Sus scrofa: one gene and its partners. The protein of the gene in region 1 purifies or fractionates together with the protein of each later gene. This does not show direct contact. Links are inferred from orthologs where the notes say so. Each region holds a gene or a part of one and is shown in the gene's direction. Other genes may lie near its edges.

The links.
Region 2: the proteins of NUP153 (region 1) and KPNA1 purify together in Homo sapiens (affinity purification with mass spectrometry; 3 studies listed by BioGRID and IntAct, with this or other methods). This does not show direct contact. The link is inferred for Sus scrofa from reciprocal best matches to the Homo sapiens genes NUP153 and KPNA1.
Region 3: the proteins of NUP153 (region 1) and RAN purify together in Homo sapiens (affinity purification with mass spectrometry; 5 studies listed by BioGRID and IntAct, counting the BioPlex papers as one, with this or other methods). This does not show direct contact. The link is inferred for Sus scrofa from reciprocal best matches to the Homo sapiens genes NUP153 and RAN.
Region 4: the proteins of NUP153 (region 1) and NUP50 purify together in Homo sapiens (affinity purification with mass spectrometry; 8 studies listed by BioGRID and IntAct, counting the BioPlex papers as one, with this or other methods). This does not show direct contact. The link is inferred for Sus scrofa from reciprocal best matches to the Homo sapiens genes NUP153 and NUP50.
Region 5: the proteins of NUP153 (region 1) and NUP133 purify together in Homo sapiens (co-immunoprecipitation; 3 studies listed by BioGRID and IntAct, with this or other methods). This does not show direct contact. The link is inferred for Sus scrofa from reciprocal best matches to the Homo sapiens genes NUP153 and NUP133.

Annotation. Positions count from the first base shown.
Region 1 is NC_010449.5:13,410,166-13,416,071, reverse strand, and holds part of NUP153 (nuclear pore complex protein Nup153), read left to right. Parts: coding exon 1-214; intron 215-3,348; coding exon 3,349-3,543; intron 3,544-5,906. UniProt on the Homo sapiens protein: Component of the nuclear pore complex (NPC), a complex required for the trafficking across the nuclear envelope. Functions as a scaffolding element in the nuclear phase of the NPC essential for normal nucleocytoplasmic transport of proteins and mRNAs.
Region 2 is NC_010455.5:138,042,771-138,049,108, forward strand, and holds the start of KPNA1 (importin subunit alpha-5), read left to right. Parts: upstream 1-2,312; 5' UTR 2,313-2,317; coding exon 2,318-2,446; intron 2,447-6,338. UniProt on the Homo sapiens protein: Functions in nuclear protein import as an adapter protein for nuclear receptor KPNB1. Binds specifically and directly to substrates containing either a simple or bipartite NLS motif.
Region 3 is NC_010456.5:24,313,676-24,320,207, reverse strand, and holds the start of RAN (GTP-binding nuclear protein Ran), read left to right. Parts: upstream 1-2,183; 5' UTR 2,184-2,445; intron 2,446-3,026; 5' UTR 3,027-3,036; coding exon 3,037-3,072; intron 3,073-3,503; coding exon 3,504-3,588; intron 3,589-3,668; coding exon 3,669-3,794; intron 3,795-4,989; coding exon 4,990-5,177; intron 5,178-5,393; coding exon 5,394-5,564; intron 5,565-5,652; coding exon 5,653-5,697; 3' UTR 5,698-6,532. UniProt on the Homo sapiens protein: GTPase involved in nucleocytoplasmic transport, participating both to the import and the export from the nucleus of proteins and RNAs. Switches between a cytoplasmic GDP- and a nuclear GTP-bound state by nucleotide exchange and GTP hydrolysis.
Region 4 is NC_010447.5:4,197,259-4,203,164, reverse strand, and holds part of NUP50 (nuclear pore complex protein Nup50), read left to right. Parts: intron 1-783; coding exon 784-902; intron 903-1,845; coding exon 1,846-2,048; 3' UTR 2,049-5,906. UniProt on the Homo sapiens protein: Component of the nuclear pore complex that has a direct role in nuclear protein import. Actively displaces NLSs from importin-alpha, and facilitates disassembly of the importin-alpha:beta-cargo complex and importin recycling.
Region 5 is NC_010456.5:60,361,903-60,367,808, forward strand, and holds part of NUP133 (nuclear pore complex protein Nup133), read left to right. Parts: intron 1-881; coding exon 882-1,016; intron 1,017-1,598; coding exon 1,599-1,769; intron 1,770-3,378; coding exon 3,379-3,534; intron 3,535-3,785; coding exon 3,786-3,856; intron 3,857-5,096; coding exon 5,097-5,244; intron 5,245-5,906. UniProt on the Homo sapiens protein: Involved in poly(A)+ RNA transport. Involved in nephrogenesis.

The DNA of each region.
Region 1 (5,906 bases):
GGAACTGGTGTTAAACGAGTCTTTACGTTGCCAGTGGCTTCAGAAAGTGCTGTAACCATGGCTGCTTCCTCCTCCAGCTGCACTGTAACCACTGGTGCCTTAGGATTTACAGATAAATTCAAAAGGCCCATGGGATCTTGGGAGTGTCCAGTGTGCTGTGTTTCTAATAATGCGGAAGACAATAAATGTGTGTCCTGTATGTCTGAGAAACCAGGTACGTTTATGGCTGTTTGGAATAATTTTGTTCATTACTTTAATAGAACATTTTAATTTATTCTCTGTAAAACAGCTAAGAATAACCTCAATGTTTTAGATGTTTCAGGATGCGCATTTCCTCGTACATTAATTTTTCTAAACTGTCTTGAGAGTAAAATGACTTGTTCGCAACTGAAACTGCATGTCCTATTAGGATAGGCTTTGTGTTAATCAGTCCAGCATTTGCTTTGACCTCTTCTTTGTATGCACTTTTATCAGGAACTTTGGGCTCTTCACCATCATTTCCAAAGTTGGCTAATATGGATGCAAAGGCCTTAGAATGGGAACCATCATTTCCAAAGTTGGCTAATATAGATGCAAAGGCCTTAGAACGGGACAGTCTCTCTCAAACCTTTATGCAGAATGAAATATTACTTTGTCTCTTTTCCTTGAAGTAGAAGTGAGGATGGCTGGTGGTCATTTCCGGGACAGTTTCATTAAAGGGTAGATGGTATTGCTTTATGAGAAGGCTGTGGCTGAATATTCACCCATGTGCCAGACATATTGCAATGATCTTAAAATAGGCAGCCAGAAAAATGGAATTAGGTTTGAGTTCTGTTTCTCTGTTCAATTTTGAAAGAGTTACTGAAGATTTAAATTGATCTTTAATTCATTTGGAAATGACTTTTTGATGTTTTTGTAATGCTTTTATATAATTATTTGGTATAGATATGTAGTAACATGGATACTAAATAAAACATGTTATGAGTATCCTGGGAATTATACTTCCTATTTTTATTGCCTCATTCATGGATGCGTGGTTTTGTGTCTGCAACGGAAAACTCTTGGGTTAATAGCCCAGACCCCTGTCTTAATACAAGGGGTGAGCCTTATTCATAATTCCTCCTAGACCTCTCCACAAGAATGATTTCAGAATCTCTATTCTAAAATAGGTTTCTCTTCCCATCTGGTATTCCTCCTCCTCCCCTTAAAAAGAAAGAAAGAAAGCCCTGATGCATGCAAGAAACCAAAATTAATTGAGTTGATGGGAGAATAAAACTGAGTCAGGAAATTGTTATACAGAAACAAAGGAAGCTCATATATATATGAAAAAACTTCCACTTCATCCTTTAGCTGAACCACCATTATAAGCAGAAAATGATCTGGTCAAACTTGTAATTTTGGTAAATCACTCGGTGGCTTTTTGGAGGATAGATTTGAAGGCAACAAAATTTGGAGACCAGAGGACAGATTAGGAAGTTATATCAGTTATATAGGTCAAGATCCTAGTGATGTGTACTAGTGGAATCAAATAAGGATTAGAGGGGGCCGTAGAATAATGTGCAGTTGGAGACATGGTTGCTTTCAAGCTGCTAAAGTTGACAGATAGGTGTGAAGCCTTTGGTTACACTGACGCTGGACCCTCTGGGCTGGAGATACAGATCCGGGAGGACTTAGCCCAGAATTTTCAAGTCAGTCATGGGCGTAGAGGTGATGTGAGGTGAATGAGCAGAGCAAATAGACAGCCTAAAACAGAACTCTGCTAACTTAAGGGAGTAGCAGGAATAAAACTTTGGAACAGTTAATCTTTTAAAGGAGTAACCAGAGAGGAAAATCAAAAACCACACGGTACTGGTGCTTTTTAGAGGATGGATTTCAAGGGAACAAAAAGAACCTGACGTAGTGTGCGTGAGGATGTGGGTTTGATCCCTGGCCTCCCTCCGTGGGTTAAGGATCCGGCGTTGCCACAAGCTGCGGGGTGGGTCACAGATGTGGCTCAGATCCAGTGTTTCTGTGGCTGTGGTGTAGGCCCATAGCCACAGCTCCAAATCAACCCCTTGCCTGGGAACGTCCATGTGCCACAAGCGCCACCCTAAAAAAAAAAGAAAAGAAACAAAAAACAGGGCTATTAAGCAAGAGGTGAGGGAGCTCAAACCAAAATAGCAGGAGAAGGGTCAGAAAAAGAATGAAATGTATTGAATGTGTAAGGGTAAGGGAAGAGTTGCCATCTAGCCAGGGTAACCAGGGGGATAGTGGAACCACCGACAAGAGGACAGCACGGGGAGGAAACCTGAAGAGTGGGTGGCAGGTCCAGATCAGAAGATGGTTTTGTTTGGTGATTAAAATGTTCGGAGTCGAGGAGAGCTTGTGAGAAGGGCAGTGGACCAAAGATGGAACGATTTTATTGGCAGGATGGAAAAGAACATACCAGTAAACGGCAGATCAGGTAACTGGGAAAAGTGACGACAGTTGGAGAACATTTAGAGAAGTGGGGGCACCAGAATGAATGGCTCCGCTCTCGACACTATTTCTTCATGCACCTGCGCCTCGCTGAGCCATCCTTCCTGTGCTGCCGCCTCTCCCCCACAGTTGCTAGTTCTGCTTAAAAATGTAAATATCAGCTCTGTGACTCCTTCTCCTGTCCTGTAGTCCTTTCCTCTTTGTCCTCTTGTTTAGATCATGTGTTACTCTTTGTCCGTAATGGTGCTACTGTGCATTTATGTTTGTTTTACTTCCCCCTTTTTAGACCATGAGCACCTTTAGAAGTTAAGCAACATCTTGTTCATCTTGCTCTCCGCCCCCAGAACCTAAGAACGTTATGGTGCTTATTAATTCATGTCTGTTAGATAGCTGCTTTATAACAAATGCTGTGGACGGTAGTCAGTAGTATCGAGTTGAATTGCAGAGTGGCCAGTAGAACATTTCTATGCAAAATTGTCATTTCAAAGCAGAGCCCTGTCCTTGGCAATCTTGAAATGAATGTGGTCTAGGCTCTGTATTTTATGTTTTAGACTGTTGCCTACAGTTTGGAACTTACATTGTATAATGCTGTGAAATTTGATAATGAATCTTAAGGAGAATTGAGTCTTTTAGGCTCTGAAATATGAGCATGATTTTTAAAAATCCTGGCTCTTCATAATTGGGGTTAAGAGGGAGCTCATCATTGCACAAGGTTTGTGAGTTGCTCATTTATAAGATTAAAAGAAATCTGAGATGTCTGTATTGTTTTTAACAATGTAATGTTTAGACTTCTGGCATTTTCTCTATCTTAATAAACTCTAATAAGAATGGAAATTAAGACTTGGTGGTGTCACTGAGATATTGACATGATGTAAATTAGGAATTTTCCTGTATTTCTCCATTATTTTTTAGGAAGTTCAGTACCTGCTTCAAGTAGCAGCACTGTCCCTGTCTCTGTGTTGTCTGGAGGCTCCCTAGGATTGGACAAGTTTAAGAAACCTGAGGGAAACTGGAACTGTGATGTGTGCCTAGTGGAGAATAAAGCAGATTCCACCAAATGTATAGCATGCGAAAGTGCAAAACCAGGCACCAAGTCTGAGTTTAAAGGTAAGGTCTTAGTAAAGCACTTTTTTATGTTACAACTTTAAAATGAAATATAGGTAAACAGTTTTGGTTTTAAAATGATTTGTTCTTTATTGAAAATCCATGTAAAATGAGGAGTTCCTGCCATGGCTCAGCGCTAACGAACCAGACTAATAACCATGAGGACGCCGGACACGAGGATGCAGGTTCGATCCCTGGCCTCGATCAGTGGGTTTATGATCCGGTGTTGCTGTGAGCTGTGGTGTAGGTCGAAGACACAGCTTGGATCTTGCTATGGCTGAGGAGTAGGCCGGCAGCTACAGTTCCAATTTGACCCTTAACGAGGCCCTAAAAGGACAAAAAAAAAAAAAAAATCCATGTAAAAAGAGGTATTGTCCTGGACCTTAGCTCCTATCTCTAAATTACTATAAAAACCAATCATTTGCTGGTTAGCAGTAAAGATAAGTATATTTTCTATTCATTTTCATTTTAGAAGGAAGATGCTGGTTGTACCCACTGAATTAATTGCGTGACTGATGGGGTACAGCTGGCTTAGAAAATGCTGCATTTGGATTTCCTATTGTAGTGCAGCTCAAACGAATCCAACCGGGTACCATGAGGTTGTGGGTTTGATCCCTGGCCTCGTTCAGTGGGTTAAGTAAGGATCTGGCGTTGCCATGAGCTGTGGTGTAGATGGCAGACATGGCTCCGAACTGGTGTTGCTGTGGCTGTGGTGTAGGCCGGCAGCTATAGCTCCGATTAGACCCCTAGCCTGGGAAGCGCCATATGCCGTGGGTACAGCCCTAAAAAGATAAAGACAAAAAAAAAGAAAAAGAAAACGCTGCATTTGGGTTTTAGCAGAGCGCTAAAGCTCCTTCTGTAGCTGTTAGCTCAGGTCCCTTTCCCATGTTCCCGCCTGTAAATACAGTAATTACCATACCGTTAAATCCTCCTTTTGAGACAGAGGTGATAACTAGTTAAGATGTCTTTGGCACCTTGATTTTTAGCTTTCTGTCTGATATCATTTAAGGTATTTTAGAGACCATGTGGGTGGCCAGTTGCTCCTGAAATTCTGACATAATTTTTCAAATAAATTTCTTAGGGAAAAGAAAGTGAGGTAGGTAATGGCTGTCACTATCTTTATTTATACCTGGGGGAGCAGAGTGATGGATCAGTAGCTTGGCACTGTTTAATGATTTCTGTGTTGAGCTGGTCATTTAGGTGCTTCATTTCTGGTTTATTCCACTAAAGAAGCATTCCGAAACCAAGGTACTGATCTTGTCAGAATAGTATTTTTATCTTTTAAAATATTGTTTCCACTCCTAAAATTCTGGTCCTTTTTTTTTTTTTTTTAATTTTAGGGCTGCACCTGCGCCACATGGAAGTTCTCAGGCTAGGGGTCCAATTGGAGCTGTAGCCACCAGCCTACGCTAGAGCCACAGCAACATGGAATTTGAGCTGCATCTGCAACCTACACCACAGCTCACGGCAACGCTGGATCCAGGGATTCAACCCGAGACTTCATGGATGCTAGTTGGGTTCATTAACCACTGAGCCATGACGGGAACTCCTAATTCTGCTTCTTTGAAGTGAAAAAAAAAAAAAAAAAATTTTTTTTTTTTTTTTTTTTTTTTTTGGTCTTTTTCTAGCCTTTTCTAGGGCTGCTCCCGCGGCATATGGAGGTTCCCAGGCTAGGGGTCTAATTGGAGCTGTTGTTGCTGGCCCACACCAGAGCCACAGCAACTCGGGATCCGAGCCGTGTCTTTGGCCTACACCATAGCTCACGGCAACAACGGATCCTTAACCCACTGAGCAAGTGCGGGGATTGAACCCACAACCTCATGGTTCCTAGTCGGATTCGTTAACCACTGTGTCACGACGGGAACTCCTAATGTGAAAATTTTTAATTTTTATAAATAACACATTTACTCACAAGACTTAAGCAGATTATGACAGAATTCACAGTGAAATGTCTGTCTCTTGTCCTCATTGGCTCGTTTTCCATCCTTCCCCCCATCAAAGGTAATAGCTCTTTGTTGTTAGCTTCTCGTAACTGGTTCAGAGTTGCTTTATGCACATTAGAACCAAATATACTTCTCCATATTCTCGCTTCTGTCTACCTTGTTAGAAAAGGATGTATACCACACTGTCTTCACCCTTGGCTTTACCACAAAGAAGCTTGGACAGAGTTTGTTTTTCATTCATCACTTACAGCTGTCTGGATTGCATATCCTATTTAGTAGTTTATCATAAAAATACTCAGCTGTAAAATTGCCGAGTCAGAGGGCACAACATGAGTTTGTGATTAGGAGTAAATACTGACAAGTTGCCTCCTGCAAGTTTTGTGCTAATTTACACATCCACCTGCAGTGTCTAAAGTGTCTATT
Region 2 (6,338 bases), on another chromosome or scaffold:
CATGACCTGTGGTGTAGGTCGCAGACTCGGCTCTGATCCCCTGTTGCTCTGGCTCTGGCATAGGCCGGTGGCTACAGCTCCGATTCGACCCCTAGCCTGGGAACCTCCATATGCCGCTGGAGTGGCCCAAGACAATGGCAAAAAGACAAAAAAATAAAAATAAAAATAATTAAATAAAATTCTAAGTAAAAAATAATTATGTCTTCATGAGTTGGAGGATTTAACATTAAGGTGTTGGTACTCCCCAAATTGATCTGCAGGTTCAGTGCAGTTCATATTGGAATCCCAGCTGACTTCTTTGTAGAAATTGACAGGTTGATTCTGAAATTTATGTGAAATAGTAGTGCATCCAGATGAACCAAAACTATCTTGAAAAAGAATAAATAGGACTTATACTTCCTGTTTTTAAAACTTCCCACAAAAATGATAAACGGGGAGTTCCCATTGTGGCTTAGCAGGACCCAGTATAGTGTCCATGAGAATAAAGGTTCGATCCCTGTCCTTGTTCAGTGGATTAAGGATCTAACATTGCCACAAGCTGTGGTATAGGCTGCAGATGCGGCTCGGATCCAGTTTTGCTGTGGCTGTGGTGTAGACTTGCACCTATAGCTCCACTTTGACCCCTAGTCTGGAAACTTCCATATGCTGCAGGTGTGGCTTTAAAAAGAAAAAACGGTAATCAGAATTGTGTGGAGTTGGCATAAAGATACACATACAGATCAATGGAATAGAATTGAAAGTTGAGAAAACTGTGTGTCTCTGATCCAATGAGTCTGAGAAAGGGCGTCAAGACCATTCAATGGAGAAAGAATAGTCTTTTCAATAAATAGTTCTGGAACAACTGGTAGTCATATGCAAAATAATGAAGTTGGACCCTTACCTCACATCATATACAGAAATTAACTCAAAATGGGTGACAAACCTAAATGTAAGAGAATAAACTCTAAAACCTTTTGTGCTTCAAAGTACATCATCAAGAAAGTAAAAAGACAACCTATAGAAGGGAAGAAAATATTAACAAATTGTAGATTTGGCAGAATACATAAAGAATTCATACAGCTCAATGGTAAAAAAAAGACATAACCCAGTTTTAAAATGGTTAAAGAATCTGAATAGACTTTTTTTATGGAGGATATGTAGTTGGCAAATAAATATTTTAAAAGACATCTAGCCATCTAGACTGGCTAGAATCACAAGGTTGTTATACTTTTGATCTCATGTTAAGGTGCTATACACCTGAAACTAACACATTATTGTAAATCAACTATATATACTTCAATTAAAAAAAAGTTTCAATAGCAGGTATTGGTGAGGATATGGTTGGCAAACCTTGGTACACTTCTGTTGGGAATGTAAAATGGTGAAGCCATTTTGGAAAAGGTTTGGCAGTTCTTGAAATGATTAAACAATGTATATAAATTATATACCCAAGAGAAATGAAAACATTTCTGCATAAAAACTTGTCCACATGTATTTATGGAAGCACTATTTATAATAGCCAAAAAGTGGAAAGCATCCAAATGTCCATCATTTGATGAGTTGGTAAGTATAATAGAGTATGTATGTATGATGGGATAGTATTCAGCCAAAAAAGGGAATAAAGTACTAATATATGCTGCAACATAGTTGAGCTTTGAAAATATTATGCTAAGTGGAAGAAAGCCAGGCTCAAAAGATCACACATAATTCTATTCATATAAAATATCAAGAATAGGAGTGATCACTTTTGAGGTGGTGAAAATGTTAAAAAAATTAACTGTGGTGATGGTTGCACATAATTGTGAACATACTAATGGTACACTTTAATAAAGCTGTTGAAGTAATCATTTGACATTCCAGTGTGGGGGATCTGGGCACGTATATCTGTATGTTTAAAAAGCTGAAGTATTGGAGTTCCTGTCGTGGCTCAGCGGTAAACGAACCTGACCAGTATCCATGAGGATGCGGGTTCGGTCCCTGGCCTCGCTCAGTGGGTTAAGGATCCGGCATTGCGGTGAGCTGTGGTGTAGGTTGCAGACATGGCTCAGATCTGGAATTGTGGATGTGGTATAGGCCAGTGGCTACAGCTCCAGTTCGACCTCTAGCCTGGGAACCTATGGATCTGGTGTAGGTCACAGACATGGCTCAGATCCTGTGTTGCTTTGGCTGTGGTGTAGGCCAACAGCTGTATCTTTGATTCGACCCCTAGCCTGGGAACCTCCTTGTGCTGTGGGACAGAAAAAAAAAAAGAAAAAAGGCGAGCTATTAAAGTAACAGAGCTCTTTATGTTAAGCTAAGTTCTTCTGTTCCCTCCCTTTCTCTTATTTTTGTAGAAATCATGACTACCCCAGGAAAAGAGAACTTTCGCCTGAAAAGTTATAAAAATAAGTCCCTGAATCCTGATGAGATGCGCAGGAGAAGGGAGGAAGAAGGACTACAGTTACGTAAGCAGAAAAGAGAAGAGCAGGTAAGTCCTTTAACCTCATTAATTTCTCAGAACTAACATAATGTTCCATTTTAATCCTGACAGCAAACCTTTGTTTTAATTTTAATGATGTTTAATACATATGTGTGTGTATATATACATATATTACCTCCCCCCACTATAAAACCAAAAATCCTTTATTTTAGGTGTAGGAGAGTGTAGGTAATGAAAGGTAGGATATAAGAATGGAGAAATCTCTCAGGTTATTATGTTCCTAGTATAACCTCTGTTTAGTATTTTGGCCTGTTAAATTTTTCTAAAGTTACAACTTCTGTAAGGATTGTATATGTATATTAATGAATTCTCAAGTGGCCAATAAATTATTGCTTTTTATTCTGAATTTTAATTTGAAAGTTTATAAACATATACAAAAATATAGAGTAGATAATGAACCTCATAAACCCATCCTTTGGGTTGGGTTAAACCCATTATGAGGTTTAATTGTCAACAGTTTGCTGTATTTGATTCATGTGTCTATCTTTACTTTTTTTATTATGACGTATTTTAAACAAAATTTCAAGGACTAAGTCTTTTCACTCCTCAATTCTGTATAAAGACATTCAGGGCAAGGATTTTTGATCATTTTAAACCTGAGAACATCTACAAGTGATCCTAAGACTCACTCTCACTTGACCTTACTCTAAAAATACTCATAGAACAGGTGATCCATCACTTTTGGCAAAGAAATTTAAAAGATAGAATACTTAGGTGACTTTTTTTTCCTAAGACTTGAGCTTGGAAGGACCACTTGACCCCCATACTATAAAAGCTCTGTAAAAGGCATACCTGAGAAATAAGGTAATCTGATAAAAAATATTTTTTAGTGAGGTATTCTCGATATATACACTGTTGTTTTGAGTAGTTCACTAGATAATCCAGTTATGTGAAGTCCAAGAGTACATTACAACCTCAGTGTTTTGTTTAGGCTACAAATGTTTGAATCACTATGTCATTCTTACTGTTTGAGGGTAGGGACTGAGTTTGTAATATTGTAATACAGCTTGTATTAACTTCAGCAAATTAAGTTAGGAGTTTTTAACATTCTGCTTTATGATCTTTGAAAGCAACCACTTGCTCATAAAAGGATTAGTTTCTTTTGGTTTCTTGTTGCCTCTTTATTCCTCTATGTGTCTTATTTGAAGTGGAACCTTTTCTTTGGATGAGCGTTTATTTAGCTTCTGTTTTGGGGGTAAGTTTCAGAAATTACAACAGTACTGTTACATATTTATATTTGCATGTAAATATGAATACATGTATACACACCCAAGCACAAGTCTGAATATAACCAGTAGCCTATGACTTATATTTGGCATGAAGCCATTTGAAGATGTAGTAATGGCACTCTGCCATTAATAGTGTACATTTTATACTGTTTCTTTTTGGTGATGGGGATTTTGTGTTATTAGACTTCATTATAATATAAACAAAGTAAAATTTTCATATTCAGTTCCCTGAAGGCATGGTTTGTTTTTTTTTTTTTTTTTTTTTTTGTCTTTTTTTTTTTAGGGCTGCACCCACGGCATGTGGAAATTCCCAGGCTAGGGATCTAGTTGGAGCTGCAGCTGTTGGCCTGCACCACTGCCACAGCAATGCCAGATCTGAGCCATGTGTGCAAGCTAGACATGGCAAGTCCAGATCCTTAACCCACTGAGCGAGGCCAGGGATCAAACCCTCATCCTCATGGAAACTAGTCAGGTTTGTTACTGATGAGCCACAACTGGCACTTCTAAGGCAGATGCTTTATCAGGTGACAGGTATAGCCCCACTTATCTGACTAATAAAACACTGATAGTTGAAGTTCTGTCATCTTCATTGTATGTGATCTGAAACTGTGCTAGTGCTTTAAGATAGTTCTATGATAAGTTTCTGGAATATTGTTCTATTTAAAATCTTCCAAAAAAAAAAAAGGAGTTCCCGTTGTGGCACAACAGAAAGGAATCCGACTAGGAGCCACGAGGTTGTGGACTAGATCCCCGGCCTCGCTCAGTGGGTTAGGGATCCAGCGTTGCCATGAGCTGTGGTGTAGGTCACAGGTGGGGCTCGGATCTGGCATGGCTGTGGTGTAGGCTGGCAGCTGTAGCTCCAATTCGACCCCTAGCCTGGGAACCTCCATATGCTTCGGGTGTGGCCCTAAAAAGCAAAAAAAATAAAAACAAACCCAAAAACAAAAAACTTAATTTTGGGAGTTCCCGTCATGGCTCAGAGGAAATGAATCTGACTAGCATCCATGAGGATCCAGGTTCGATCCCTGGACTTGCTCATTGGGTTAAGGATCTGGCATTGCCTTGAGCTGTGGTGTAGGTCGCAGATGTGGCTCAGATCTGGAGTTCCTGTGAATGTGGTATGGGCCAGGGGCTACAGCTCCAATTCGACCTCTAGCCTGGGAACCTCCATGTGTCGCAGATGTGGCCCTAAAAAGACAAAAAATAAAAATAAATAAATAAAATCTTAATTTTGTTGTTTCATACATGCCATCTTATGTAGGGAGAACTCATAAAAACAAATCACGCTTCTTAATATCACATCAGTACTTGTTTCATGCCTAATTTGTAAAATAGTAAACATCAGTAAAATACAGATTCATTTAGGTACTGTTTATCTTCCCATAGTTGCTCTGTCATCTATCGGGAAAAATTACAGGCTTGGGCCAGCTGCACAGCTAGATTTGAGGGTAGTACAGGAGTTGATGCTGCCAAGTACACAGAAGATAACTGCATCTTTTAGAACTTTACTTGTAGCAGACTAGCACTTAATATCTGTTATTTATGTAGCACTGTATAAATGGCCTTTGTTTATTTGACACCAACAGATCAAACTAAAATTCATTTTTTGGCAAAAAATTTGCTAGTTGATGTCATTCTGATTGAGCCAGTTTTGTAATTTTTTCATGTATTAAAAGATGAACGTTTTACATTTACTATTAAAATACTTTGAATTGGAGTTCCCTGATGGCCTAGACGAGTTGGCACTGTTGTGGCTCTGGTTGCTGCTGTGGTGCGGGTTTGATCCCTGGCCTGGGAACTTCCACATGCCATGGGTGCAGCCATATAAAAATATACGTGTGTGTGTGTGTGTGTGTGTGTGTGTGTGTGTGTGTGTGTTAAACAGACTCTTGCTAACTCAGTGTGAGTAGGTAACATTAGTAACACTGAGATGCTAAAAAGTGTGTAAAACCCATAGTGATGAAGAGTGGGCGCTTGCTTGATGTTTTTATTTACAGGAAATATCTCATGAAGTGAACAAGTTGATAAAACTTGTGGACAGCCAGCCAACTTTTCCCACTGAATAACTTGGTTGATGAATTCAGGCAACATGTACTCTATATAAGGCATGCAAATCATGATTATTTTGGTAGTTTTTGTCTTTTATAAAACCTGTTTTTTGTGACAGCATGGATGTACTTTGAAGGCATTATGTGGAGTGAAATAAGCCAGAGAAAGATACATACTGTATGATTTTGCTTATATGTGGAGTCTAAAAACAAACAAAAAACCCAAACTCATAGGAAAAGAGATTAGACTTGTGGTTATCAGAGGTGGATGATTGGAGGGGGAAGAATAGGAGGAAGGTGCTCAAAAGGGACAAACTTCCAGGTATAAGATAAATAAGTACTAGGGAAGTAATGTACAGTGTGACTATGGCTAACACTGGTGTATAATGTATAGGAAAGATGTTAAGAGAGTAAATCCTACGGGGTTCTTATCAAAAGGAAAATTTTTTCTTTCTTTTTATTGTATCTGTATGAGAAGATGGATGTTAGCTGAATCTAGTGTGGTAATCATTTCACAGTATATGTAAATCAAACCATCATGCTGAATATCTTAAACTTGTATAGTGATATATGTCAATTATTTCTTAATTAATTCTTAATAAA
Region 3 (6,532 bases), on another chromosome or scaffold:
AGCAGGCACATGGCAGTTCCTAGGCTAGAAGTCAAATCAGAGCTGCAGTTGCTGGCCACAGCCACAGCCACAGCAATGCCAGATCCTTAAGCCACTGAGCAAGGCAAGGGACTGAACCTCATGGACAGTTGTTGGGTTCCTTAACCACTGAGCCACAATGGGAACGTCACCATTCATTCTTCTTAAATGCTGTCTGTACAGGATGGACCTGTCAGTGCTGTGGTGTGGGTTGCATCCCTGGCCCTGGCACTTCTACATGCTGCAAGCACAGCCAAAAAATTTTTAATTTAAATTTTAAAAAGCTGGAGTTCCCGTCATGGCGCAGTGGTTAACGAATCCGACTAGGAACCATGAGGTTGCGGGTTTGGTCCCTGCCCTTGCTCAGTGGGTTAACCATCTGGTGTTGCTGTGAGCTGTGGTGTAGGTCGAAGACACGGCTCGGATTCCACGTTGCTGTGGCTCTGGTGTAGGCCGGTGGCTACAGCTCTGATTCGACCCCTAGCCTGGGAACCTCCATGTGCCGCGGGAGCGGCCCAAAGAAATAGCAAAAAAACAAAAACAAAAACACAAAAAATAAATAAATAAATTTTAAAAAGCTGTACAGGAAACTCACAGTATAAGTTTATTTATACATTTTCCTATCAATGGACATTTACATAAAATTAATCTTTTGTTATTATCATATGGCAGGGAGCATTGGGATAACTTATCTCCTTGGGCATATGTGTGAGTTGAACTCTAGGGCATCTCCCTAGAAATGGAAATAGATGGTCATGAGCTATGGACATTAATGTGTGTTTTATTCCATTCTACTCTCCCAAGAGGCCAAACCAATTTACACTCTCACCAGGGGCATCAGCTCTACTTGATGTTTTCGTGGGGGGTGTCTAGGGAGTCCTCAGACTTGACTTTGCAGCAGGCATGTGCTCAGATGTGCTGTGTCCAATATATCACGAGTTCCCAGTAGACTAGCCTGCAAGTATGCTCAGGACTATGTGGCTAACTCCTTGGTCATTTGGGTTCTCTTTGCTCTGAGAAGAGTCCCCAAGGTGGAATCTTTTGAGGAACTTGGCTATCCTGATATGCTTGCTTGGGGAGAGGGGATCAACATATCAGTTTGAGGAGTTCCTTGTCGTGGCTCAGTGGTTAACGAATCAGACTAGGAACCATGAGGATGTGGCTTCAATCCCTGGACTTGCTCAGTGGGTTAAGGATCCGGTGTTGCCGTTAGCTGTGGTGCAGGTTGCAGAGGTGGCTCGGATCCTGCTTTGCTGGGGCTGTGGCGGAGGCGGGCATCTACAGCTGCGATTAGACCCCTGGCCTGGTAGACCCCTGGCCTGGGAATCTCCATAAGCGTTGGGAGCGGCCCTGAAAAAGGCAAAAAGACAAACAAAACCATATCAGTTTGAGAATCTGTGGCTGTTCAGACAAATGCCAAAACCTGGCCTTTAGATTTACGATGTGAGGTGGGAGGGCTCCGTTTGGCCAACGGCTTTGCTCAAAGCAAGTGAATGGGAATAACCAACACTTGTTGAGTTTGAGGTGTACCTCATTTTCTCTCTTGGACAATGGCCACAGGTGGATATGCCCTGGAGAATTAAGTTCTATGAGTGCACAGTTCTTGTCTGGACCCTTGACAGCCTTACCCTCACAAGAGTCTGGAACCTAAATACTCAATGACTGGAACCTAAATACTCAATGACTGCATGCCTGTTTGTCTCAGAAGAGCTGCCAAGGTGGAAACACTACATTGCATCATCCTGTTTGCAGAATAGGGCCACAAAGGCTGCTGACCACTTAGATGCTCAGAGAAAAAAGTGACTGGCATTTCAGGATGGGAAAGACATTGGTCTTTGCTTCTTTTACTCTCCAGAAGGTCCTTACTGAGATGGGGGTGAGGGTCAAGGGCAGGGGCCAGAATACCGGTGGGTGGGGGTGGGGCAGCACGCACCCCAACATGGCGCCCGCTCGGGGCCTGCGGTGCCGCGTTCGTACAGCTGCGAGGGGGGGGGGGGTCAAAGGCTTTGTGTGGGCCACCCCGCGAGTTTCCCGCCCAAGGGGGCCTCGGCCCTCTCCTCCCAGCTCTGTTCCCGCGGCGGCAACAGGGCGCGCCGCGTCGCTGTCAGCGCATGCGCGCGCGGGAACCCGCCCTCTAGGCTGGCGCACGTGGCCCGGCAGCCCGACGTGCGTGCGCGCGACCGCCGGGCCTCCCGCGTCCGGGGCTCCGGGAGCCTCTCCCTCCTGGACGACGGGTGCGGCCGCCAAAGCTGTGCTGTGTGCGTGTGCGCGCGCGCGCGCGCGCCGGGCCACGTGGGAGCGGCGCGGCGCCGTTGCCCCGCCCTCCCCCGGCGCGCGCCGGCGTCGTCTGCGTCTCCGGGCATTTGAATTGCGCTTCCGCCATCTTTCTAGCCCTCAGTCAGACGGGCGCGGAGACGCTTCTGGAAGGTAGCGGGGCAAGGGTGGAGGCCGAGGAGCCAAGGCGGGGATGGGGGGGTCGGGGCGTCCCGGTGGCTGTGGCTAGCGGCAGCCATGAGGAGGTGGTTTCGCGGGGCCTAGGTGTCAGGTGGAAAGCTCTCTTTCCTGGCCGCGGAGGCCCCGGGCCGGCGCCGGAACCCGGGCCGCAGTGGGCCGGGCGGGCGGAGAGGGTCCCCGGGGCGGCCAGGCGGAGGGGAGATCGGGCTGGAGGGTCCTGGCGGGGGCCAGGGGCGGCTGGGCCTGGTTGTGCTACCGTGACCAGGCGCTTTCCGCGCCCCGGTCTCCGCGCCGAGCGAGCCTCCCTTTCGCCCGGCCTCCGCGCCGACTGGGCGCGCGCCGGGCCCCGGCGGCCGGAGGAGCCCGGCTGAGGAGCAGCGCCGCCGTCGCCATTGGCGCGCCCTCGGCCGCCCGCGTGCGGTGTCGGGGGAGGGGGAGTGGGCGGCGGGGCTCCGGGTTGGAGGCCTTTGTGGGCCCGGGCACGTGGGGCGGGTCGGGCCATGCGGCCCGCGCCGCTGTGCAGCGGGCCTCACTTCTTTCTCCTTCTCTCGCAGTAACATCACGATGGCTGCCCAAGGAGAGCCCCAAGTTCAGTTCAAAGTAGGTAATCCTCGTGAGTTGGGGATCTGCTGCTGTGGACCTGAGGAGGGGATCTGCGGGGGGGGGGGGCTCTTGTCCAAACGGGTTTCACAGGGTCTCCTTTATGACCGCAAACCTGTGTCGAAGGCCCACTTCGTCTGCCAACATGTTCGTGCCGCGGCAGGGCCTTCAGCCCCCCGATAACGGGGTGGGGGTGCTGGCCCCACCCTACGGATAGGGAAGCTGGGCAAGGGAAGTTTCATTGGCTCCAGTCATTCATTAATATGGGACAGGGCAGCTTCATTAAGATTCTTTGTTTTAAATATACTTAAGGGATATTTAAAGTTCTGTTATGTAAGTGCAATGGGTGTCCATAAAATCTTAACTACATAATTCTGAGATCCTGAAATGTTGCGTGTCTTGGTGTTTATTTCAAAAATGTCTTTCGACAGCTTGTATTGGTTGGTGATGGTGGTACTGGGAAAACTACATTCGTGAAACGTCATCTGACTGGTGAATTTGAGAAGAAGTATGTAGGTACGTAGGGGAAAACCATTGATGAAGATGTGTGCGAAATGGATGAGTTCAGCGACTAACTGGAAGTGCTTGTGTTTCAGCTACCTTGGGTGTTGAGGTCCATCCCCTTGTGTTCCATACCAACAGAGGACCTATTAAGTTCAATGTATGGGATACGGCTGGTCAGGAGAAATTTGGTGGACTGAGAGATGGCTATTATATCCAAGGTAGGTGCTTGATTTGTAACCAACAGTTTTCGAGAGGATCTGTGAGTTGGTCTCCAAGGTTGCTTATAAATAATCCGATCTAGTCCAGTAGACTCATGCATAGTACTGACTGAACTGGGAATCGGGTAGTTGGATCCAAAGGATGTGCTGGCTTCAGGGACTTGACCATCATTTGAGGGGCAGAGAATTTTGTGAAGTTTGTTATGTGCCATTTGATTGTGTCATGATAGGCACGGTTTTGGAAGAAACTATGGTTTGTGTTCAGGCTCATAACTTAAAACGCCACAGACAAGCTGTTACTGGAGCTCCTGTATTTGAAAACTTGGGAGTGTTTGAATATATATTTTGGTGATTTCAACGATTATTTCTTGTGCACTCCATTGAAAAGGTAGTAAACATTTGAGCAGATGCTGGACCAGAGGAGCTAGGTCTTCTGTCTTATAAAATGTTGTATAGGACCAGCTGATTTCTTTTTAAATGTACTAGGTCTTGTGGAATATTTATTTCAAAGTGCTTGGTTTAAAAAATGGAAGGAAATAAGTGCTTATACCAAGAAAAAAAGATGAATAAAGAATGCTTATTTCCTAGAATCTTTCTCTTTTGATGAAAATTGTTGAGAATCTTTCCATGTCTTTTGCTTTCCTTGGGTACATACAAATGCAAGGATTCCCGCCAGCCAAATCTTTTAGCTACAAATCTGTGTGATACACTGTGCCTACTTAGTGGCTTAGCAGCCTTATTATGGCTGTTCTATAAGACAATAAATACGGGCTTCACTGAACTTTTGAAAACAGGCACACTATATATTCTCATGTATTTATCTATTTAAGAACCTTTTAAAGAATAGATTCTTACATCCTATATGTGGAAGGTGAGTTCTCTGGAATGCTAATTTATTGTTAATCTACATTGGGTATTTTTTTTTTGAATGAGGCAGAGTTTATGATGAATTACTACAGGTGGAGAGATTTCATATGGTAGGCTGGTCTTTCATGCTTTCACATACAATAAAAGAGAATTTAAAATAATGTATATTTAAATGGTCTAAGATTTTTAGAATTGGTATAGACCTTGCAATTGAATAGAGAAATTAGAGTTAGGCCTGAGATTATGAATCTGAGTCCATAGTTTTCAACATTTTTTTCATTTGGGTAGTAAATTCCTTGGTATGTACTAATTGCTGTACATTTTCCAGCTCAGTGTGCCATTATAATGTTTGATGTAACATCGAGAGTTACTTACAAGAACGTACCTAACTGGCATAGAGATCTGGTACGAGTGTGTGAAAACATCCCCATTGTGTTGTGTGGCAACAAAGTGGATATTAAGGACAGAAAGGTTAAGGCAAAATCGATTGTCTTCCACCGAAAGAAGAACCTTCAGGTACATTTCTTAAAACTTAAAATTTCTGAATTATGATCCTTGGGTAAAATTATGATACAGGAACATTAAAGTAATTCATAATGTTTTTGACATGGATTTTTTATTTATTTATTTTGGCATATTAAAGTTCCAAGGCCAGGGATTGAACCTGCTGTGCCACAAAGGAAGTTCCAATATGTGGGTTTTTACAATTAGTTTTATTTCTCTTTTAAACAGTACTACGACATTTCTGCAAAAAGTAACTACAACTTTGAAAAGCCCTTCCTCTGGCTTGCTAGGAAACTGATCGGAGACCCTAACTTGGAGTTTGTCGCCATGCCTGCTCTTGCCCCGCCAGAGGTGGTCATGGACCCAGCCTTGGCAGCACAGTATGAGCATGATCTAGAGGTAGGATGCTTCCATTTTAGTAATGCTGTAAAAGATTCCTAATGGTTTGCCTCTGGAGTATTACAGCTTTTTTATATCTTGTCTTTAGGTTGCTCAGACAACTGCTCTCCCGGATGAAGATGATGACCTGTGAGAAAACAAAGCTGGAGCCCAGCGTCAGAAGTCTAGTTTTATAGGCAACTGTCCTGTGATGTCAGTGGTGCAGCGTGTTTGCCACTTTATTATATAGCTAAGCAGAATATGTGCTTAATCTTTGGGGTGCTGAAGGAGATGAATGGGCTTCGGAGTGAATGTGGCAGTTAAAAAAATATACCTTCATTTTTTGGACCTGCATATTTAGCTGTTTTGGAACACAGTTGTTTCCTTCTTGAGTTTCAAATATAAGACTGCTACAGTCGCATCACAATATTCCGTGGTGAAATCTTGTTTGTTACTGTCATTCCCATTCCTTTTCGTTTAGAATCAGAATAAAGTTGTATTTCAAATATCTAAGCAAGTGAACTCATCCCTTGTTTAAGTGAGCATTTTAAAACCACTAAATTGTGCCATGTTACTATTTTGGATTGCCTTTGCTATTACCATTTAATTTGAAGTTTATTAGGTTAAGTACTTCTAATTTCCTGTACATCTGAATCATTTCACACAAGATGACAGGTCAGCAGTATTGTATTCGATAAGAGTTGTAAATATTGTCAATGCAGTTAGGCTAAAAAAATACCTACTCCACCTGCTTTTTGGCCTATAGTGTTAGCTAGGGAAGAGCTTGTTTGGGATTTATGTGACCTGTGAAAATAAAAGTGGTACATGTTTTAGACATTTCAAATAGATACCTTAAGAATTATATAGTTGCTTTTATGGCGGAAGTAACAATGTTCTAATGTAGAGCTTTTCAAAGTCCGCTGAAACCATACAAATGGTTTCAGAAACTGGAGGGATGTCTCACCTGTTTAAAATGAATATGAGTTGTG
Region 4 (5,906 bases), on another chromosome or scaffold:
CGCTCCCGCAGCATATGGAGGTTCCCAGGCTAGGGGTTGAATCGGAGCTGTAGCCACCGGCCTACGCCAGAGCCACAGCAACGCGGGATCCGAGCCACATCTGCAACCTACACCACAGCTCATGGCAACGCCGGATCGTTAACCCACTGAGCAAGGGCAGGGACCGAACCTGCAACCTCATGGTTCCTAGTCGGATTCGTTAACCACTGCGCCACGACGGGAACTCCCAGGTTTTGCTTTATTGATAACCTTAAGAGATGTGTGACTGGAGGCCGAGGAGATATTTGATTACATTATCTGCAGGCCTTGCCTAAGTGTGTTTTCCAGACTCATTTCAGTGTCCTGGGAGATCAGAGTCTTGCAGAGAATTCAAAAATAAGAAACAGCAAGGGGAGGGGCAGCGTGGAGTGGCCTGTACTCCTTCCTGTTCTCTAAAGGCCAGGTCAGCGCTCTCGAACTCAGGGCCAAAGGAGCACATCAGGGAGGGGGGTGCCTGGCCACGATTTCCAGACTTTTAAGAAAAGGTAGTTTCAGAAAGCGTCATTAAAGAGTTGTTCAGGGCCCACTGTGTAATAATTTAAAAAACGTGGAGGGACTCTAGACTGTCTGACCAGATTCTCTCCTCTGGCTTGTGCCCAGACCTGATCTGGGTCAGAAGGAGAGTCTCCTGAGCGTCCCCGCCGTCGCTGAGTACCAGGCTCCCACGAGTGTGAGCGGGCCCTTTGAAACTGACTGTCGTGGTTTGTCACCGTGTCTGACCATACCCGTTATCTTTCTTCATAGGTGTAAACTATTTTACAAGAAAGACAATGAATTTAAAGAGAAAGGTGTGGGTACTCTGCATTTAAAACATACAGCCAATCAGAAGACACAACTTTTAGTGCGCGCAGAAACCAATTTAGGTGGGTACTTTTTTTTCCCAGGTGGCACAAACAAGCGTAATCACATACTGTGTGAAAGCCTTTCCTAGTCATTGAGATTTTCAGGAATCTTAATGTGTTTTTTGGAACAAAACGGAGATTGTTCGGGACAAATTCATCCTGTACCTGCTGAGCATTTATAGGTTTAGTTGAGTACCAGGTCATTACCGGGTACTCTGTGTGTGAGAAAACCGAGATGTATTAAAAACCGTTGCCAAGAAGTAAGCGAAGTGGTTCATTTTCCTTTGTGTTAGGACTGTGACGAAGAAGCTGTAGGTAAATTGGATCATTTAGTAACCATTCAGGGAGGATTAACCTTGAAGAAGAATGGAAGGAATCATTGTTATGTAGCAAATAATCATTAACTTGTTCCCCTCCGCTCTTACCCCACCGTCCAGCTTTACCCACTGGGAGGAGGGGGTCGCCCCTCGGCTGGGGCCTCAGCAGTGGTGCTGCCCCGACTGGGTCCCAGAAAGAAACTTCTTGGGACACTGTCACAGTAATGCCACGCTCACCCCATGAACTCTGCTGGCCTCTGTGGCAGAGACCACAGAGTGGTGACCACTCCGTGTTCAAGTGACATGGTGAAGATGCCACGTCGGGCCAGCGGGTTGTTCCTTGGGGGCCGGGGGGCCCAGTGTGTTCTGGGGGGGGGGGCTGGTGTGGCGGTGGGAGACGGGGGGTGGGAGGTGGCAAAAGGCGGCTGCTCCTCACCGCGGCTGAGTCCATGTCCTGCCGGACGCCTCACGGTCCTCTTGGGGACACTGTGCTGGTGTCTGTCAGGGAGCCATGCCACTCCCATGGCTCCTCATTTTAGATCCATCAAGTGTGAGCTGCATCCGAATCCGAATTCAAGCCGCAGTTTCACGGAGCTGTGTGTGTGGCGGGTAGAGTCCGATGGCCTTTCTCCTGTGTTTAACCGCAGGCAACATCCTGCTCAACGTTCTGATTCCGCCCAACATGCCGTGTAGCCGCACGGGGAAGAACAACGTGCTGGTCCTGCTCATTCCGAACCCACCCATCGATGCCACCAACGCCTCCGTCCCGGTCACCATGTTAATTCGGGTGAAAACCAGCGAGGACGCAGATGAGTTGCACAAAATTTTACTGGAGAAGAAGGATTCCTGAACACGCTTCCCCTGAGGAGCTGTTGCCAAGTTGCTGCTTCCCCACTGCCCTTTAAACTTAGTTTTCTTCTCTTCTTTGACATTCTAGAACTTAGAGATAACTTAAAACTTTTGTGAGGAAGATAAATATGGCCAATAAAACCTTTAATATTACCTGTCAAGAAACTGTATTCTCCCTTCTTAAAAGCTATCTATCTAATGTGTAAAATATATTTGAAAGAAATTTTTTGGAAGGTTTTTAATGTTCATTGATTAAACTAATCACCAGTGATTTGTTAATAATGAACTGCAATCAGGGTATCGAGTAGATTTCCCAAAGGCCTTTCCGGTCCAGGGGCTGGGGCTCGCTGCCGCCCCGTGTCCAGAAGGGAGTTGCCGGGAGCGCTCTTGTTTCTGCTGGCCCTGGCCGATGGGTGTCCGAGAGAACCGAACTGCCTTGCTGGGGCAGAGACGGTTCCTCTTTGCTTTATTTTATTGTGTTATTTTACAGCTGAAGTGTCTGCCTTCAGCGTTGGAGTCCTCAGCCTTTTCTGTGCAGACGCTGGCCTTTAACCCCAGAGGCTGCTTTGCTGTGGTTCTGGAACTGCTTTTTCTTTTTCAAAGGAAATGTGTGGCTTGTTCTGTGGGTTTGTAGGCATATTCATGAGGTGCTCTTCCTTCTGTATCCCCTGGAGACAAATGGGCTGGGGGATCGCCAGGACCGAGGTTGCAAAGCACAAACTTGGTAGCCTGTAGTTTGTAGACAGAGGACAGTAAACCCTTATTAGAGAGTCAGGGCTAAGCTGTGCAGCAAGTGGAAAAGGGTGTTTGTGCCACGATGAACCCCGTGGATCTAAAACCTGCTTGTTATGTCACGGGGGCGTTCGTTACACGAGCCGTGCGAACTTCCCAGGAAATAGGCAGTGAGGTGACGGGAGAGAAAAGTGTGTGTGTAAAGGTTGCTTTTAGCTTTTAGACAGGAGTGCATTTTGCATTTGGTACCTGAAATTTCCGTTTACTTTTTTAAGAGTGAGGTAATCCAGGAGTCCCCGTGATGGCTCAGTGGAAATGAATCTTGACTGGTGTCTGTGAGGATGCAGGTTCGATCCCTGGCCTTGCTCAGTGGGTTAAGGATCTGGCGTTGCCGTGAACTGTGGTGTAGCTCGCAGACGCAGCTTGGATCCCGCGTTGCTGTGGCTGTGGCGGACCCCTAGCCTGGGAACTTCCATATGCTGCATGTGCAGCCCTAAAAAGACCAAAAAAAAAAAAAAAAAGTAGAGTATGCCACATGTCCGTCTGAAAGGGAGCCATGGTTGTGCCCAGGAACGCCCGTGTCACCTCTCCACAGCTGTCAGTAACTGAGGCTCGTGTTCTTTGAAGGCTCTGGACCTGTGAACTTGATGTGAATTTGAAGGTTGTCAACGCCCACTCTCATTCCTCTCGAGCCGTTCGGTGCTGGCACCAGCGCATCTTGTTTCAGTTGAGTCTCAGGGTCTGTGCCTGGGGGCTGGTAGCACTGCCACAGGCTCATCTTCAGCCATGATTTATTTTCTGACTTGGGAGAGTCAAAGTAACTGGGTGGTAGAGTTGCTTAAAACAAACAAAACTGTAATTTTCAGATGTTAAGGGGCGGGAAAACCTCCTTGCGGTCAGATACGTTACTCTGAACACACTTGGGGTAAGGTACGCGGGCCGCGTTTATCTCGCGACTCTCGGCGTTCTCCTCTCGTTTCCCTGATGGCCCTGGGAGAGTTGGAAGCCCAGTGCGTGACTTCGAATAGACAGACACATGTGGAGAGAGGTGTGCTCGCCATATACTGGGGGATGTGGTTAAACTCCTTCGTGTTGTGAGGCCGCGGGAGGAAGTGGCACTTGTTGCTTTTAACTTTTTAGAAGTGAGACTATTGAGTTTTGTTGTGGATGATTTTTAGTGACCACGTGGTCGGTACTGTTAGAACAGTAGGGCTCTGCAGCTGTGACAAAGTGGAGGAAATCAGAACAAACTCGGCGCCTTCGCCTTCGAGCCGAGCCGCGTGCTCAGCCGCACATGCTCCCAGGTCCTGCCCGAAAGTCAGGCGCACGGTGGCGGCATCTTTACGAAGGAAGGCTTTGTGCGGTGTTGGGTTTGCCTTTGCTGTGATGTGGAGTCGACCAGAAATGGCCTCTAGCAGTCAGGACTGGATTACCTCTTAAGCCCTGCTTGTCTTTTTAATGGGTATGTGTGGCTTGCTTGCTTTTTTTTTTCTTTTTAACTAACATTCCCAGCAAATTCTTGCTGCTCAGACTGTACTGTTAAAGGGAAAATTTATCGGGGAAAATGTGATGTGTACACCCTACGACAAAATGTGATCTTTTCTTAAAATCACTCAGTGTTCTAGGAACTCGCTGGTCTCCACTTGAATCACGTATTAGTATGAAGGCCCGAGTGTGTGTGGGTTTCGCTGTAAAATCCAAGGCCGTGTGTGTTGTTAGGGGAGGGCCCCTCGGCCCCTGGCGGGCCCGCCTGCCTGTTCATCCCCACTGTCTTAACGGCGCAGTTCTGCCCCATGGGATCAGATTTATTTTTAACAAATTATTATAAATGAGGATTTAAAATGTTTAATGTGGGCTGGACTTTTTATCTTTAGTTTGAGAATCTGTAAGGAGTGTTACCACAAATGTGACCTGAAGGGTGTGTGTGTATCTTTGATTCTAAATCAGATTGTGTTGTATCTTGACAAATACCAAGTACCCCAGTGGCTTTTTCTTTTTTTCTTTACCAGTTTGTGTTCTCTCCTCCTTTTGAGCCATTTCCCATGAAGCCAAAATGGAGTGTTGGAATTAAACTAGGTTGAAAATGTGTGTCCAGGGTTTAAAGTTCAGATTGTGTTTCCCGTGGAAGGACAGGTATGTTTATTAACTAATTTTCTTTCAAAGGATTATTGTTTTACAGTTTCAATTCCAGATCATATTTTTGATATGCTGCATGCCAAAAATACCTACCTGTTCTGGGGTAGAGGGAAAAAAACCTAATATTCTACCTTACTGTTAAGAGTTCAGAATGAATTTTCACTGAGAAAGCCTTTTGGTTCCGTTTTAGAGATAAATAAGTTGCTTGTTTTTGAGCACTTGCCAGTCATGATTGTATTTCAGAACAATCCAAATAAATGTAAGCACGGTGTATTTTGAAGGCTCTGCAGATTTGCAAACTAAGCGGCTCATTCCCTAACCCCTGGTAGTCATCCTCATTCTAGAAGTGAGAATTCCCGGCGGAAATGGATTTGTCCTGTAGCACCAGCGGGGGCAGTGGGGGGCCTGTCCAGACGTCTTCCCGCGCGGTCCTCTGAGCACCAGGCCCCGTGTACGTCTGTGGCCAGTGGTGATCACGTAGGGACCGAGGAGCCTGCGTTTGATGCAGACGCCGTTGCAGCAGAGACAGGAAGCTTCGTAGCAATCAAGTGGGGGAGTCGTTTGCTTTCTGTTTTAAATAGGAACTCGTTTCCTAAAACGCAAATCCTTGACCTGTCAGTGTAATCTCAGTTTGTATTAGCTTTTGAATGATCCCATTGAGGAAGTGTACGGATCGTGAACTGTGAATAAAGGGAAAGTAAGCAGAATCGCAGTGTTTGAAACTTTGGTGTTCTTCCGTGCCGCACCTGGCGCTGTAATGCCGTAAAACCACTGAAGTGCCCAAGTCAAGCCCTGGCGGGGGGCAGAGCCAGTGCCCGATGCAGAAGCAGTGCCCAGAAGCCTCCCAACAGCAGGAAGGTCTGCCGGGAGGGGAGGCGGCCCAGCCCACTTGTTGTCAGACCCCCTTGTGCTGGAGGAGACCCATCCCAGACCCTTCGAGGGTTTCTTTTGGCTTCACGTTTCAGTGAGAACGGGAATAACGCTTTCATTG
Region 5 (5,906 bases), on another chromosome or scaffold:
CTTGCCTTGCCATATGACCCAGCAATTCCATTCCTGGCCATTTATTCTAGGGACATTAAAGCTTATGTTCATGCAGAAATAGTACACTCATGTCATAGCAGCTTTACTTGTGATGGGCAAAGGTGGAAGCAATCCAGACATCCTTTAGCAAGTGAATGGATGGATGAACTGATTTGTCTGTAGTGTGGATGACACTGAAGAGGTATGAGCTGTTGATTATCTACAGCCTGGATAAATCTCAGCGACATCATGCTCAGTGAGATAAGCCAGTGTCAGAAGGTTATATTCTGTATGGGTTGGTTTGGCATCCTCAGAAAGATAGGACAAGGATGATGGAAGTAGTGATGGCCAGGGGTTAGGATGGGAAGGTGTGACTATAGGGAAAGCATCAAGGAGTTCTGGGTGCTGGTGGAACTGCTCTGTATCCTCACCATAGTGGTAGTTATGGGTCTATCTGTGTTGTAAAATCCATAGATCTGTGAGGAGTTCCCCCTGTGGCCCAGTGGGTTAGGGATCCGAATGTGGTGGCTCAGGTTGCTCTGGAGGTGCAGATACTATCCTTGGCCCCATGCAGTGGGTTAAGGATCTGGTGTTGCCTCAGCTGTGGTGTAGATCACAGCTGCGGCTCAGATTCAGTCCCTGGCCTGGGAATTTCCATATGCCTTGGTGTGGCCAAAAAAGAAAAATTTGCAGAATCGTGAAACTAAAGGGCAGAAACATCGATTTTACTGTATGATAATTAACAAAGAAAAGGAGTTTTTATTTCTGATTTCTGGTAATTAGTAGTACGTCATCCTGTTTTCTTTACATTGGTGTTGTCAGACTTCCAATTTGGGGTCCTTCTTTTCTTGTGATTGTTGAGTTCGAGATCTTGTTTTGAGGCTGTTGCTGTCATGGTGGCCACCAGAGAAGGATCCATCCGCTACTGGCCAAGCCTTGCTAGTGAGGACACCTACACAGAGACGACCGTGGACTCAGGAGGGGATAAGACTTACAGCTTCCTAACAGCCGTGCAGGTATATGATGGGCATTCTTTTACATTTACTGGAAAGCCATGATGAGGCCTCTAAGGGGGATTTGAACAGATCACACAGGCCTGTGGGGCTGGTGGGAGTAAAAAAGCAAGAAAGGTAAGGATCTAGGATTTGAATGCTTAGACAAGGGGAAGCCATGCTCATGGGTCTCTGAAATATCAGTAGTGCATAGTAGCCGGTGGTTTTCATTTCTTTCAGAAACACCTTATGGGAGTGACTTAGAAATTTTGACATGAGGAGTGGTTTGTTAATACATACTCTGCAGGTTTACTAAAGAAATAGAATCTGATGCTTGATTCGTTGAACCTACCTTATGGTGAACTTATAGCTTAAAAGTCAGAATTTAAGAAACTTGTAATCAAAAAAACTTCAACAAAGTTTTTCTGTGTAGAATTAATAATAGTAAGTGAATGGATTCATAAGTAAGTTATTTTAATAAAACAACAGTGTTCTTTTGGACTTAACGTACAGATGATTTTCCTAGTTATAAGAACAATTTCCGTTAATTTTCTTTTCTTAGTCTTAAATGCCTAACTGAACTAATTCCATGATATTTGTTCACAGGGAGGAAGTTTTATCTTGTCCTCTTCAGGAGGCCAGCAAATTCGTCTGATCCCTGAAAGTTTAGGAAAGATCCACCAGCATATCCTGCCTCAAGGGCAAGGCGTGCTTTCAGGAATTGGTCGGAAGGTTTCTTCTCTTTTGGGAATTTTGTCTCCTAGTAGTGATCTCCTAGTAAGTTGACGAAAGAACTCTTGTCTTACAAGTGTCTTTCTTAGTGAAATCAGTAAGTTTCCTGTGAAGTTTGTATTGCCTCTCTCTGACCAGTGATGTACATGAGATGGAGCCTTTGATTTTTCCAGTGAAGTGGAAATGATGATCAAATGAGTTCATACTAACCCTCTTGCATACCCTCTAACATTAATATTCTTAAATCACACAGATTATCTTGGAGGTACATTCTTTAAGTTAAAACTACAATGTAAAATTATAAATGTCTAGTTTTGCTTTCTAGACTTTACCAAAAGTGTGTTCTCCACTCCATCTCCTCTAGCTGTCTGCGTGGGTGACCCAGGTCTGTGTTGGCAGGGCTTCTGCCTCAGTTTCCCAAGGAATGGAAGGAGGATGATGGGAAGGAACAGGTGTGGGGCACCTGCTCCAGGTGTGAGCCAGGTGCTCTGTGCTTGCTGTCTCGTGTGATTACTAGTGGCCTGTAGTGTAGAGAGCTTTATCTTTGATTTGTGGGTGAGGACTGAGGACATGGCCTCAGTGAGGCTACAGACCACTCAGTAGACTCATGTCCAGGCCTTTTGGAATTGAAAGCTTTTTTTTGACTGTGCTGTTCCCTCTGTTTTCAGTTTGCTGTCATCATCTGCTTCCTTAAATTGTCTTTAAACCCAAAGCTTAATGTCTAAAAACAAATTCCTCCTATTCTCTTCTTTCCAACTGACTACAAGTTAACATACAGAGCTCATTTCTCTTTTGACTTCTCTATTTCTGAGGGCACCATCACTCTTTTTGGAGACCCAGGTATAAAACTATGATTTCTTTTTTTTTTTTTTTTTTTTGGTGTCTCCTCTCCTGGAGCGATGATCTACGAGGTACTCTAGGTTTTTACTTCTCCCACATTTCATTGCAGCTCCATCTTCCTGCTTCTGTTGTTATGCCCTAGTCCACACTGTTGGTAGATTTCCCCTAAACTCCTGGTGCCAGCCCACTTTATTCCCTGGGAGCACCTCCTATCCCATTAGTGGCCAGAGTCATAGTAGCAGGAGAAGTGGAGACATTTAGGGTTTTAACTCAAAACAGTCATGTGTACCCAACGAAAAGAAACACATCTCTACTGCAGAAGCAAGTATATACTTAAAAGTAACACACCTATGTATAACTACACACGTACCTGCCAGGTTCCCTTTCCTATGTCGCATCTCTTGCACTCAAAAGCCATTAGTATTATCACCCTTGCTTACTAGGTTCACAAACTCCCACTTGAGCCTCTGCTCTGTGTCCCTGGTTTTTCGCTAAACCCCATTTTTGCTTCTTTCCTAGTTATAATCTGCATTTCAGTTTAGCAGGATCACTGCTTGCTCACTACCCTGTGACTTTCCCACCTCCAACCCTGCTCTTCATGGACCTTCTGCCTTTATATTTCTGCCTATGGAAATCTTCCTTCCTTTCAAGGTCTATTTTAGGATCACTCCTTCCTTTGAGTCCTAAATGAAGAATTCTGTTTTAGGATTACTAATCAAGTAGTTATAAAATACACTAAGTTTGAGTTTCAGAGAAATAGTTCATTAACATTAGAACTTAATAACCTATAAACTTTTTTCTTCTCTCCATACAGCTTTCAAGTGTCCTTTGGGATAGAGAGAGATCAAGCTTTTATAGCCTGACAAGTTCAAACATCAGTAAATGGGAATTAGATGATTCTTCAGAAAAACAAGTACATAGTTGGGATATAAATAGAGTCCTGAAGGAAAACATTATAGATGCTATTTGGGTAAGGAATAGTAGCATTTGTTTCTAATTCACAATTGTAAAGTTTTAGCCATCACATAAGCAGAAATGGAGTATTCAGTCTTTAGATATTGGCATTCATTGATGCACTTAATTTTTAAAATGCATGCAGTATTCATTCAGTAACAGTTTGAACTACTGTGGCTGAGGCACTTTACTCAGTGCTGAGGATATAAAGTGGAAAGAAATGATTCCTGTACTCCAGTAGCTTACATTACTGATGTTTTCATCTAGGGATCTGAAAGTAACTATGAAGCTATTAAAGAAGGGGTCAACATTCGGTATTTGGATTTGAGGCAAAACTGGTAAGCAATTCATTTGTCATAAAGAACATGGTAGTTGTTTGGAGAAATAAGTTGATCTTTACTATAAAATGATGATCAGTCTTGCTCTCTGTTCTTCTAGTGCCTCTAATGCTAACCTTATAGTGTGATGCCTTACTAAATGGTTTGGTGTTATCTAATGATGCTAATTCATTTAAGAAGTCTAGGTGCTTGGCAGCCTTCAGCTGTGTGTCACATTAGCTGTCTGCCCTAGCTAGGGATGCAGCTTTTCTGCTGTTACAGCTGGAGCTCCTTGTTTTTCTGTGCTTAATTAGAGCTGTCTTACCCACTGTGTTGATTTGAAGTGGAGTGTCGTTTAGTCTTTAGCTTGGTTTAGTATTTTTAGTTGTTAGTAGAGGGTGCTTGCCACCCTTTTAATATTTCTGAGACTTGAATGAAAGCTGCTAAAAAATGTACTAAATATTGTAGAAGGTTTGAGATTAGAGACCATTTAATTCTTTTTTGGGGCAACAACTTTGATAGACTTAAGAGGACCATATAAATCTTAAGATGAAAAAAGTTTGTTTTCACATATACATGAAAGCCTCATTTATGGAAACTCACCTGGGCTTAGATTGGCCTGAGAGCTGTGCTTTGCCCGTCCCTGTGTTTAATGACTTGTTGATCTTTTTTTAAGTCAGATTTATTGAGTTACATTTTACATACAGTAAATATTTTCCACCCTTTTTAGTGTATAATTCAGTGAGTTTTGACAGATGCATAGTCAGTTAATTGTAACCAGTCAAGATACAGAATAGTCCTATCACTCGAAAAATTCCTTTGTAATCAACCCCTCCCTTCTCCACTTTCAGCTCCTGGCAACCACTGATGTGTTTCTTGACCCTGTACTATACATGGAACCATATGTTATGAAGCCTTTTGAGTCTGGCTTCTTTCATGTAGCATAATGCACCTGCTGCTTATTCAGTGCTTCCTTCATTTTTACTGCTGAGTAGTAGTCCATTGCATAGGTTTACCAGGGTTTGTTTATCTGTTCAGCAGTTGAAGGCTATTGAGTTGTTTCCAGTTTTATGCAATTATAAGTAAAGCCACTAGAAACTTTTGCACACTGATTTTTTTGTGTGAACACATGTTTTTATTTCTCTTGGGTAAACTTCTAGGAGTGGGTTTGCTAGGTTACATGGTAAGTGCATATTTAACTGTAAGAAATTGCTAGGCTGTTTTCTGAAGAGGCAGTAGATCTTTCTTTTTCACTGATTAGTGATGGACTTCTGATTTTGGCTGCGGCATGGCACCTAGCAGACAATCCATGTCTCGTCTATTACTCTCTGATAGCAGTGGAAGATAATGGCTACCAAATGTCAGATGCAGTAACTGTAGAAGTCACTCAGTATAATCCACCTTTTCAGGTAAGATATCTGTCTGTAAGTTTTTTTTTGTTTTTGGTTTTTGTCTTTTTAGGGCTGCACCTGCATCATATGGAGGTTCCCAGGCTAGGGGTCGAATCAGAGCTCTAGCTGCCAGCCTATGCCACAGTCACAGCAACACCAGATCCAAGCTGTGTCTTCAGCATACACAACAGCTCATATCAGTGCTGGATCCTTTAACCCACTGAGTGAGGCCAGGGATTGAAGCTGCGTCCTTACAGATGCTAGCCAGATTCTTTTCCACTGAGCCACGATGGGACCTCCCTGTCTGTAAGTGAAATTACACAGTGACAATAACATACTGAGTTATTTTTCCTAACTGTTGCAGGGCCAGATTCTTTGAGAAATTCATCTGCTGGCTCGGAAATACATTTTAAATTGCTAGTTTGGGGGCATTGGATCCTGTCTGCCGTGTTAAACACATTCCTTTCCCTTGGATTAGCTAAAGAGAAGTGGGAGTGGAGCGCCTGGCAGCAAGTGTGTTTCTCCTGCTCCCACTCTGTGAAGGGATTCTTGTTTCTTTATCACTGAGTAGAAAGAAAATGCTGACCATGAACTGCAGAGTGAAAAATAAGGAAGGAACCTGATAGGAATTGGGCTTTGGTTTCACCCCTGCAAATTAAAGGGAAAAAAAAAAACAAACA